2 linked regions of the Drosophila melanogaster genome follow. The protein of the gene in region 2 purifies or fractionates together with the protein of the main gene of each other region. This does not show direct contact. Each region holds a gene or a part of one and is shown on either strand. Other genes may lie near its edges.

What was found.
Region 1: the proteins of Ctu2 (region 2) and Ctu1 purify together in Drosophila melanogaster (affinity purification with mass spectrometry, with the first as the bait; one large-scale study listed by BioGRID). This does not show direct contact.

Annotation. Positions count from the first base shown.
Region 1 is NT_033778.4:9,095,987-9,100,706, forward strand, and holds Ctu1 (cytosolic thiouridylase subunit 1), read right to left. Parts: upstream 2,540-4,720; 5' UTR 2,465-2,539; coding exon 2,417-2,464; intron 2,361-2,416; coding exon 2,203-2,360; intron 2,151-2,202; coding exon 1,325-2,150; 3' UTR 945-1,324; downstream 1-944. Other genes in the region: CG8777 (uncharacterized protein), read left to right, coding at 2,608-2,700, 2,756-2,967, 3,075-3,267, 3,405-4,000, 4,066-4,143, 4,203-4,617, 4,668-4,720. UniProt on the Drosophila melanogaster protein: Plays a central role in 2-thiolation of mcm(5)S(2)U at tRNA wobble positions of tRNA(Lys), tRNA(Glu) and tRNA(Gln). Directly binds tRNAs and probably acts by catalyzing adenylation of tRNAs, an intermediate required for 2-thiolation.
Region 2 is NT_033779.5:19,490,716-19,495,698, forward strand, and holds Ctu2 (cytosolic thiouridylase subunit 2), read right to left. Parts: upstream 2,539-4,983; 5' UTR 2,452-2,538; intron 2,249-2,451; exon of another isoform or gene 2,194-2,248; 5' UTR 2,179-2,193; coding exon 961-2,178; 3' UTR 932-960; downstream 1-931. Other genes in the region: CG18094 (uncharacterized protein), read left to right, coding at 1-914; swm (second mitotic wave missing), read left to right, coding at 3,184-3,242, 3,318-3,783, 3,842-4,983. UniProt on the Drosophila melanogaster protein: Plays a central role in 2-thiolation of mcm(5)S(2)U at tRNA wobble positions of tRNA(Lys), tRNA(Glu) and tRNA(Gln). May act by forming a heterodimer with NCS6/CTU1 that ligates sulfur from thiocarboxylated URM1 onto the uridine of tRNAs at wobble position.

The DNA of each region.
Region 1 (4,720 bases), on a different chromosome or scaffold from region 2:
GCCCTTCTCAGTTATCTGATGATTTATAATTCTATTTTCTGACATCTCTTATGAACCGTTGTGATTCAAATCAGTTATAACTAATTCTGACACATTCGACTCTCAACTAAATATAATTTTTACTTGTGGCCGTGACTTATGAGAACTCATCTATTACTTGCAGATCGGTCTTTCGATTTGGATTCGGAATATAAATGAGGTTATCAGCGTGAAATGGTAATTATTCTCTTCATTTATGAAAACTACTTAAAATTTCGTGATGAATGACCCTATCATCATCTTTCGACTGAAAATCATTTTGATGCTATACTAGTTTTCACTGAATTTTAAACGCTTTAAAAAAACCTGTTAAAAAGATTGTTACATTTGAATAACACAAATATATTTTAATTTCAGTTCATTGCAACGTCAATATCATGTATCAAACGTGGCTCACTAACACAGTGAAAAAGGTAATAATTCGGTTTAAGATAATAAAAAAATTTAGTTTAAATTTTATGTGTAAATTGGACAATTAATTGTGTTGTGATGAATGAAACTTACACCATCTTTCGACTGAAAAATGTTATGAAGCTATACGAGTTTTTACTGAAACCCCTTCATTTTATTATTTTTGTGTTTTATAAGTTTTTTAGAAAATCGGTTGCTGCTCTTTATAACCATTTAATTTTTGTCATTTTGCAGTGTTCAAGAAAACCACCTTTGATTGTCGCGTCATATGCCCAAACAAGGATCTCTCCTTTGAAAAGGTAAATTATACTCTAGAACGAAATAATATGTAAATGATGCTTTTAAAATTTCTGACATCTCTAATGAACCGTTGTGATTCAAATTTTTCTAATATAATTAACTGATCATTTTAAAATCGCTTAAACGATTGAGTTATATTTGAATAACTACTTATTTGTATTGTTTTTGATTTTTTTTTTTTTTTTACAGATGTGAAACATGCGTAGCAAAATGAATCCGTCAATGGTTCATTTATAAATTCCAATATCTAAAAAGGTTAGTACGAAAAGAGATTCTGTTTAGCGGAAATGAAGATTTCAATGATGATCACTTAAACCATTCACAGACACCATATAAAGGTCAAGCGCTGGCAATCTTCTTCAATATTCTTTTGGAGATAGAGCGTCTTGTTTGACTGGTTATGGGCCCTGGTTAAAAACTTGGCACTGAGCTTCATAATGCATTCTAGTATTAATGAAATTAGCCTGCGAAACCAAACTTATCGTTCCTGTTGTTATCTTTTCAGGTTGGCAACCTTGGATGAACACAATTTGTATCTTGTGGAATCACGAATAAATAAAATTCATATGTGTTCTTAAAAATCGTTTTTTACTAAGTTTGCTCGCTCCCGCAATGCTAGTTCCTGGTTCTGCTTGGCAATCATTCGCTCGCCCTTCGACTTCTTGCCTATGCCCAGCTTCGGCAATCCTCTATTTAGACCCTCGAGAAGGACGCACGCCTTGCACGGCTGCTGTGAGGAAACGAAGCCACATCGGGTGCATGTGCCACGCTCGGGCTTCTTTACCGTGTCCTTGAAGCGAAGCTGTTCGCCAGAGTAGATGATGTCCATTATAACCGATGGTCGCACTTTCTCCAAATCCTTGAGAAACGCTCGAGCGTGGCCGCGATACGCATTGGGGGCGAATACGCACTCCGTTGAGAAGTAGACCAGCTTTTTGTAGTGGGCGTACATCACGATTTCTTTCTCGTAGCTGTACTTGAGGGGCTTCACTCGGGGAATGGTATCCTCGCCCCCGCCGGTGCGGATGCTCGTGCAGCGTCGCAGGCGCGCCGTGTCCCCACGGAGCACGTTCATCAAGACAGTCTCCGCAATGTCATCTGCATTGTGGCCTGTGGCTATGCTATCAACGCCCAACAGCTTGGCCCCTCTATCCAAGGCCTGTCGGCGGAAGACGCCGCAAAATGTGCAGTTGTTAGAACGGCCGATCTGGGCAACAATGCGGTCCATGGTCCAGCCGTAGAGCTCCTCGTAGGACAGGATCTTTAGTGGCATCTGGTAGTCGTCACGGTTCTGTTTCACTGTCTCCAAACTGTCATCCCGATATCCAGTGATGCCTTCGTCTATGGAAAGGAGCACCAGTTCCAGACCGTAGTTATGGCGTTCGTTTAGCAGTTTTAATCTGTAGAACACTTGGATTAGAGAGGTGCGATGGGGGGAATGGTACGACATACACGTGCGCTAGGACCGTGGAGTCCTTGCCTCCACTGGCCGCTACGGCCACCTTCTCGCCACGTCGGAACAAGTTGCTGGAGGAGATTGTGTGATGGATCTCTGCCTCGAAGGCTGCGAAGAAGCACTCCTTGCACAGGGCATCGCCGGTTTTGGGTCGCTTTGGGCAAACAACATTATTAGGATTTATTAGGGGCTGTTTAACTTATGAACTACCTTCAAAGCAGCGCGATTTCCGCACTGCGACTTGCAGATAATGTGCATTTTTACTGACACTTAATTAGCACACAATTTAATTAACAGCTGTTGCACCTTATGCAGCAGTGACCAACACTGGCGTTATACAAAATCAAGTTACCCATCACTGTTTGTTTGGAATAGATGAAAAATAAATATAAATATTTACAATGAGCGCCGTAAAAGAGTCAAAAGCCTTGATCAAGGACATTCGGGAGACCATAAAGCTGGGCAAGCATGCGGAAGCCATACCCAAGTGCCAAGTGACGTCACCATAGAACATACCAGTTATGCATCATCCTAATGCCTTTATTGCAGCGCCTACTTAAATCGGAGCCTGAAAATGCTATGGGCTACTTGTTGCTTGGGGCAGCCTACCAGAATATCGACAAGGCGGAGGCGGCCAAAAACCTGAGGCAGTGCATCAAGTGCACGGATGGTCCGGCCCCTGCCGCGCTCCTCGGACTCGCCAACTGCGCGCCCAGCAACGAACTGCCTGAAATCTATGATCAGTTGGCTGACCTGCAACCGTAAGAATCTGCTCGTGACTCCCTGGTCATTATCCATACTCCATACTATCCATACTAGACTTTGTCATAAAAGGACTACTAAAGTGATCTTTACTTTACATTTTTAGAGAACAATCCTTGAACTATTGGGAAAAGCTTTTCAACTTGGCCTCTGACTCAAATGTGGCTCCTTTCTGCTTCACTGTACTTAAAAAGAGAGTGCAGGACACAGAGAATGGAAATTTTACGAAAATTCAGGAGTATCTGGGACGCATTTGGGTTTCAAACGACTTTGAAATTGCGCCCGAAGATACTCAGCTTGTAAGTTACCGTATAATTATTAATTTATTTATTAAAAATAATTTTGAAATATAAAGAATTATAATTGATATGAGCACTTTCATAGCTCAATTTCTTATTATAAATTAGTGCGTAATGACTAATTACACTTTTTTCAGTACAAAACGACTATGGAAGCTCTGCTGCAGAACTCTGAACCCAGTGCAAGGAGCGTGGTTTACAAGCGATACCTGAAGTGGCTTTACAAGAAGCAGGATTATGAGACTTGCGTGCGGCACGCCTGCAATATGACCGAGTCGCATCCCAAAGATGTCTATGGCTTCGAGTGGATATGCAAGACCTACTGCGAACACCACGAGCAATCCGAAATAGTTAGTTGGCAACAGGAGCTGAGGCATCCCATTCAGGTGTACGCTGAGCAGCTTCTGGAGCTTAATCCTAACTCTAACCTTGCTTTGTTGGTTAAAGCCCTGGATCTTTTCGCTGAGGGGCAGGTCGTCGCATCCAGGCAGTTGGCATTGCAGGCACAGAAAAGTCAACCTGCGTACAAAGTAACGCTGGAATTGCTGGCTCGTATCCACATGGAGCTGGGCGCATACAAGTTGGCCCTTCAGCTGTGGCAGGAAATTGGACAGGAAAACGACGCTTATGCTCTATGCTTATCGCACGAAAAAGGCGTTTCAAAACTAAGAGAAGCTGTCACGATTTTACAAACGCTTGAAAACTCCGAGGGCAATATTAAGTCTTTGGCTCGGTGAGCTTTTTATCAATAGTATTTGGTTTAATAAAATGCATAACAAGAGTTTATTTAATTTGCAGCTGCTACTTCAAGCTGGGCGAACTGCACTTGCTGAAAGATTTGCCCTTGGATGATCTGACCAAAGCAGAATTTGTTTTGTAAGTAGGAAATCCAAAAATTAAAGAAGTCAATCCACCTTTTCCATCTGCTATACTAGATCTCCATCTGAAGCTCTTCAAGAAATTGCTGACTGTAAGACTTTTGAGGCATACCTACTTTGTGGCAAGCTGCATATGGCGCTGAAAAACTATTCAGACGCTCTAAATTATGTGTTAAAGGCCACTCGACTGCGCCCACACTTTGCCGAGTGCTTTGACTATCTGGGCAAGCTGTACCCGCTGGCCACTGGGGACTTCTCACGAGCCCGCAAGTGCTACGAGAAGTGCATAAGCCTTAATCCCCTCGCTGAGGAAGCTGTGGATGCCTTGAGCTTTATCTACCAAGAACAGGGCGAGGAGGAACTGAACGAGACCCTGCTGCTGAACACATTGAGCCATTTGGGTAGCAATGAATCAATTCGATTGCAGTACAAGCTGGGTCTGCATTTCTCGCATGTGAAGAAGTGGGACAGTGTAAGCAATTGATTATCATTGATGAATCCGATTTAACACTTTTATTGCAGGCAATACAATGCTTTCGCATTGCCATTAAGAATGACTCCCGCTGCATTAGCTA
Region 2 (4,983 bases):
AAGATCAATCTGCGAAATGGATAACTTTTTTCAAATCCTTTGGGGTGACCGATGAACAATTAAAAATGTGTAGGCACAATCAGGATTCTCCAAGGCCTGAGTTTCTATCCGGTGGAGACCATATTTCAAGGGACATTGCACTGCGACTGACTGCGCTCAGGGAAACCTTTGAAGAGGTGGGCATCTTGATTTGCACAGAACAGGACGACATACAAAAATGGGATTCTAAATCGGGTCATCCTAGAACCGTGCTTCTCGAGTCAAGCGAACACTTCGAATGGCAACATCGGGTTCACAATGATGCCTCACAGTTTCTGGAACTCTTTCGGCATTATAAAGTCATTCCCAATATCTGGTCTCTTCAGGAATGGTCCATTTGGAGGACAGCAGCCACTGCCAATCGGAAATATGACACTGTTTATTATATCACCATGTTAGATAAGTACACCAGGAATATAAAGCTGCTTCTGGAACCGCACGAGGTGGCTTCGGCCCACTGGTTGAGTCCGATCGAGGCTTGGTCGAGCTCACAGAAAGCCATTATTTGGCTCCCGTTCATGCTGCTCTATGACATCGCTCGTCTGATGAACTTCTATAGCTTTCAGGAGCTTCTCAACTTCTCCCGCCAAAGGAGCTGCAATGGAAGCACAATGGTGCAGCCCGTCTACTATCGCTGCGATGACTGCATGTTTGGAGTTCTTCCTGGTGATGAGCTCTATCCCAAAGAACCAGGCGCTTGTACACAAACAATTATCTTGTCGGGATCGGTGGACGACCTTCATCGAAAGTCCAAGCAATACAATCGCTATATCGTCTACGACTTCCACAAGGTCGTACTGGCCTCCAATATACCGCCCTGCGATGGGCATCTGCCACTGCAGCCTCTTGTCAATAACAAGCTAGCCAAGTTGTAGTAAAAGAATATAGTTTTAATAGAAAATATATATATTTCCTCTTGCGCTACAACAAGTTACCACTATCCAACTCGGTCTGTATGGCGCGGCATGCGTGGCACAAACCGTCCTTGTTCTCCAATCGCTTCTTGGCCAAGCCCTCGAGATCTTGTCCGCTTTTGTACAGGCTCACGCCGGCCTCTGAAACAGATCTGGAGTACTCAATAGCCAGCAGAGTGTCGGATAGTTCGGAGTCCAGTGTAGATCGACAGTGAACACAAGAGGACTGCTCTGGATTGGAATTGACAGCTATTTTGTCGCCAGTTCGGAACACTGTGGATACTGTGGAGGCGAAGTTTTGCTGCAGATTGGCCACAAAGGCTGATGTAAGGTTCTGTAAGCTGGCAGTCTCACCATGCTCCATCCCATAACGTGAGCCTTTTTGAAAATGTGGCTTTAGACGCTGTGCATGTATGTAAAATTGAATCTCCTGCTCAGTTAGGTCCTTGAGAGGTCGCAGCAGCTTAACATCTCCAGACAGCCGATCGTCGAGGAGAGCCACATCCAAGGCGGCACTACCGCCACGACCTAGCGCTATTGCAGTCAGCAGCTGGGTGGCTAAGTCAACACTTATATTAGATTCAAAGACGTGAGTACATTGCAGACACTGAGCCACGGAGCAGATGAGGTTCTTGCGCTGTTGCTGGAGGTAATCCTGGCGAGCTGTCAGACTTCGCAGTTTTTGAAGCTTGTGGATAAGCTCATTGTTTGCGTTGAGGAAAGGACTATAATCCTTGATCCGCTGCAAGGAGCTGGGCAAGGCGCCCAGTTCAATCACATAGAAATCGAAGGGTGCGTATTGTGTTGATAATCTCTGCAGAGCTTCCAAGTCCACAGGATCGCGACCTTGCACTTGCTGCTCCTCCACGTAGACCACACGTGCGTTGCAATGGAGTCTTTTAAACGTGTTCTGTGTTTGCGCGAAGTGCAACATGTCGAGCAGAACGAGCGACTCTGCGGACCCGTCCAGGACAAGAAGCACCTCGGCGTTTCTGGGCAGAATCTTGGCGGCTCCCAGAGCTGCCCGAAACTTGTGCCTCGCATACGCTAGAAAGCATTCCCGGCACTCCGCAGTTCGGAAGTTGAGTTTGTAGAGCTCGCCGGAGTTTACATCGCATTTGCTGCAATTCCCTGGACTGAGGACGATTCCTAATGGTAGGGATTCCACTACCATGGCGTGGGCGGCACCCTCGTCTCCAAAATCATCTTCACCAATGCTGCACATGGCAATAATTTACGTCTAATCCACAACAAAAAGAATTTCGCAGATAAACGAAATGACCAGGGATGAATACGTTGTGAAATGAATGGATACAAAATAGCGGAATTCTAGACAAATGTCTTCTATCTATAATCTATCTATATAGATTATCTATATTTAGTGTCAAAATTAGACGGCAAGCTAGCGCTTTCTTATAATATAATATCGAATATAATATATCCAATATAATTTAAAAAAGCGTAAACCTTTAACTTATATTTTAAACTCATATATTACCTTTAGCTACGGTATAGTCTATAGCTGTCAACACTGTTTCGAGGGCATTCCGTTATCGAAGGCTATCGATATACCTGGCAATATATCGACTACGCAGCCTAGACTCGTCAAAAGCAACCTTGCAACAGGAAAAGTGCAGTGAAAAATATAAAAATAGCTGTTCAAACCACAATTTGTTGTACAAATCTTAATAATAAGTTAAATTTAAGCATTGAGGTATGTGTCTTTGGAGTTTGTGTTGAAAAATGGGCTCGAAAAACCCAAGAAATTTGGGCGCAAAAAACTGGGTGCTGCTAATACGTATGTATGTGAGTTCTGCGTGCCTGTGTGTTTGTGCGCGCTGTGTGTGTGCGTCGTGCTTGTACGCAAGCAAAAAGTATCGGGTAGCAAAATCGAGAAACTTTCTTATTGACGATAGCAGATGGGAAGAAGAAGCAATTAAAAGAAGGAAGGAAAAAGTACGACAAAAAGTAAAATAAACGCCGAAATCCAATTTCAGAGATTAAAAGCAGAAGCAACGGCGGTAACAGGAAGTAAGAAGTTCACCCAAATCGCAGGAGCACAGTCGCCAGAGCGACAGAGGTCATCTTAAAAATAATTTTTCGGGCGTGTTTGCCCCCCGAGCACGATTAACCCCCCACCCAGATTAGCGCAGACCAACGCAAGAAGCCCCCAACCAAAAAACAAAAACAACAGCAGCAGCAGCAAGCAGTAGAAACAACCCGCCTTAGCATGATTCTGGAGAATTCGGACAAGCTCAAGGATTGGCTGAGCGTGGTCCTGGAGCCACTGTAAGTTCTTGAAAGCCGCTATTTCATCGCTATCCCTGGAACTAACCCCGTCACATACCACCCTCCCACTTACAGCTGCGATGCGGACTCCTCGGCCTTGGCGCGATATGTCATCGCGCTGCTCAAGAAGGACAAATCGGATAAAGACCTTAAGCGGATCATGATCGAACAGCTCGATGTTTTCCTGTCCGAGGAGACGACACGTTTCGTTGAACGCCTCTTCGATGCCATTGCCAGCGAGGAATACCTGACGGTCCCTGCTGCCCCTCTAATAACAGCCTCTAGTGCATCCACCGCTGAGCTAACAGTCGACCAGGAACTGGCCCTGGTCATTGATGGGCCCCAGGACGACATCGAAGCGGTTTTGGTTGCCGATTCCCCTCCACCGCCTCCTAAAGATAATGTGATAAAACCCGATAGCAATCAGGTCAAGTTAGAGCAGGCCAGTCAAGATGCCAGGGAAGCTGAGGCCCTAGCTTTTATCAGCCAGGAAGCCGGCATTGCCATGCACGTCCCTACAGATGCCAAGCCAGCCTTTGATGTGAGTTTTAGTGGTAGCTTCGCCTTAGCTGTTTTGTTTATATTTCTAATTTATCCAGCAGCATAAAACCAAAGACTCCCACAATCAACAGTCAGCCTCCAACTACCAACACCATCATGTGCGCAGTGCCAGCCCACCGGGCAGAAGCAGCGGCGTCAGCGGAAGTGGAGGAGGTGGTCCCGGCGGAGCAGGTCTTGCGGCGGGTTATGCTGACAAGGAAAACCAGCCGCGCGACAGTCGACGACGACGTGCTTCCCTGCGATCCCGTTCCCGCTCTCGATCGCGTTCTAACGAGCGCGCTTTTCGGCGGTCCAGGTCACGCGACCGACGGGTGAACGAACGCGAGAAAACTCAACGACAATTCCGTAACAAATCTCCACCAGGCTCGCAGACCGACAATCGCCATCATGGTCGGCGCAACTTTGATCGCCGGCGCATCGGTGGCAACGCAGATGATCGTCCTCGATTTGGCAACAATAAGAGCCGGCGCTCTCACAGTCGGTCAATGTCACCGGAACGAAACGCGCGGCGCAACCAGAACTCCCCGGACCGAGTACAAACAGCCCAAGCTAACCTAATTCCCGCTCCAGTGGCGCCGCCAGCACCCGTTGAGCATCCGGCTTCCCATCCTCGTCAGCGCTGCCGGGACTTTGACGAGAAGGGCTATTGTGTCAGGGGTGAAACATGTCCCTGGGACCATGGCGTCAATCCGGTAGTGTTCGAGGGCATCAACAACACGTCCCTCATGATGTCAATGCGCGAGTACAATCCGGATGCGCCCGAAATATGGGCTAGGAGCGGAGGTCCGCCACCAGGAGCTGGTCAGGGACCAGTGCCTCCACCAACGCAACCAGGACAGACCACCATTAACCCCTTCAGCGGTAATGTGCGACCAACCACGCTAATGAGCGGCTCTGGGCCCAGTCCGATGGGCGTTCCGAATCCCGCTGACTACGCGCGCAATCCAGGCGCTCCGCCGCAGGCGGCCATGATGCCATTCCCTTTCAATCCCACTGCGGTTACCACTCCCTTGCAGCGGCAGCTGATACCTATTCCCGTGGTTGATGGCGCTCCCACGGGAGGCGTTGCTGAGGTTGGTAAGCGACGTTTCGAACTGGAGGATACAGTGGCCATTGCCGATGTGCCAACGAAACGAAAGGTGCCGATCAACAGTCGTCTTGGCCCGCGTGTCAATCCCAA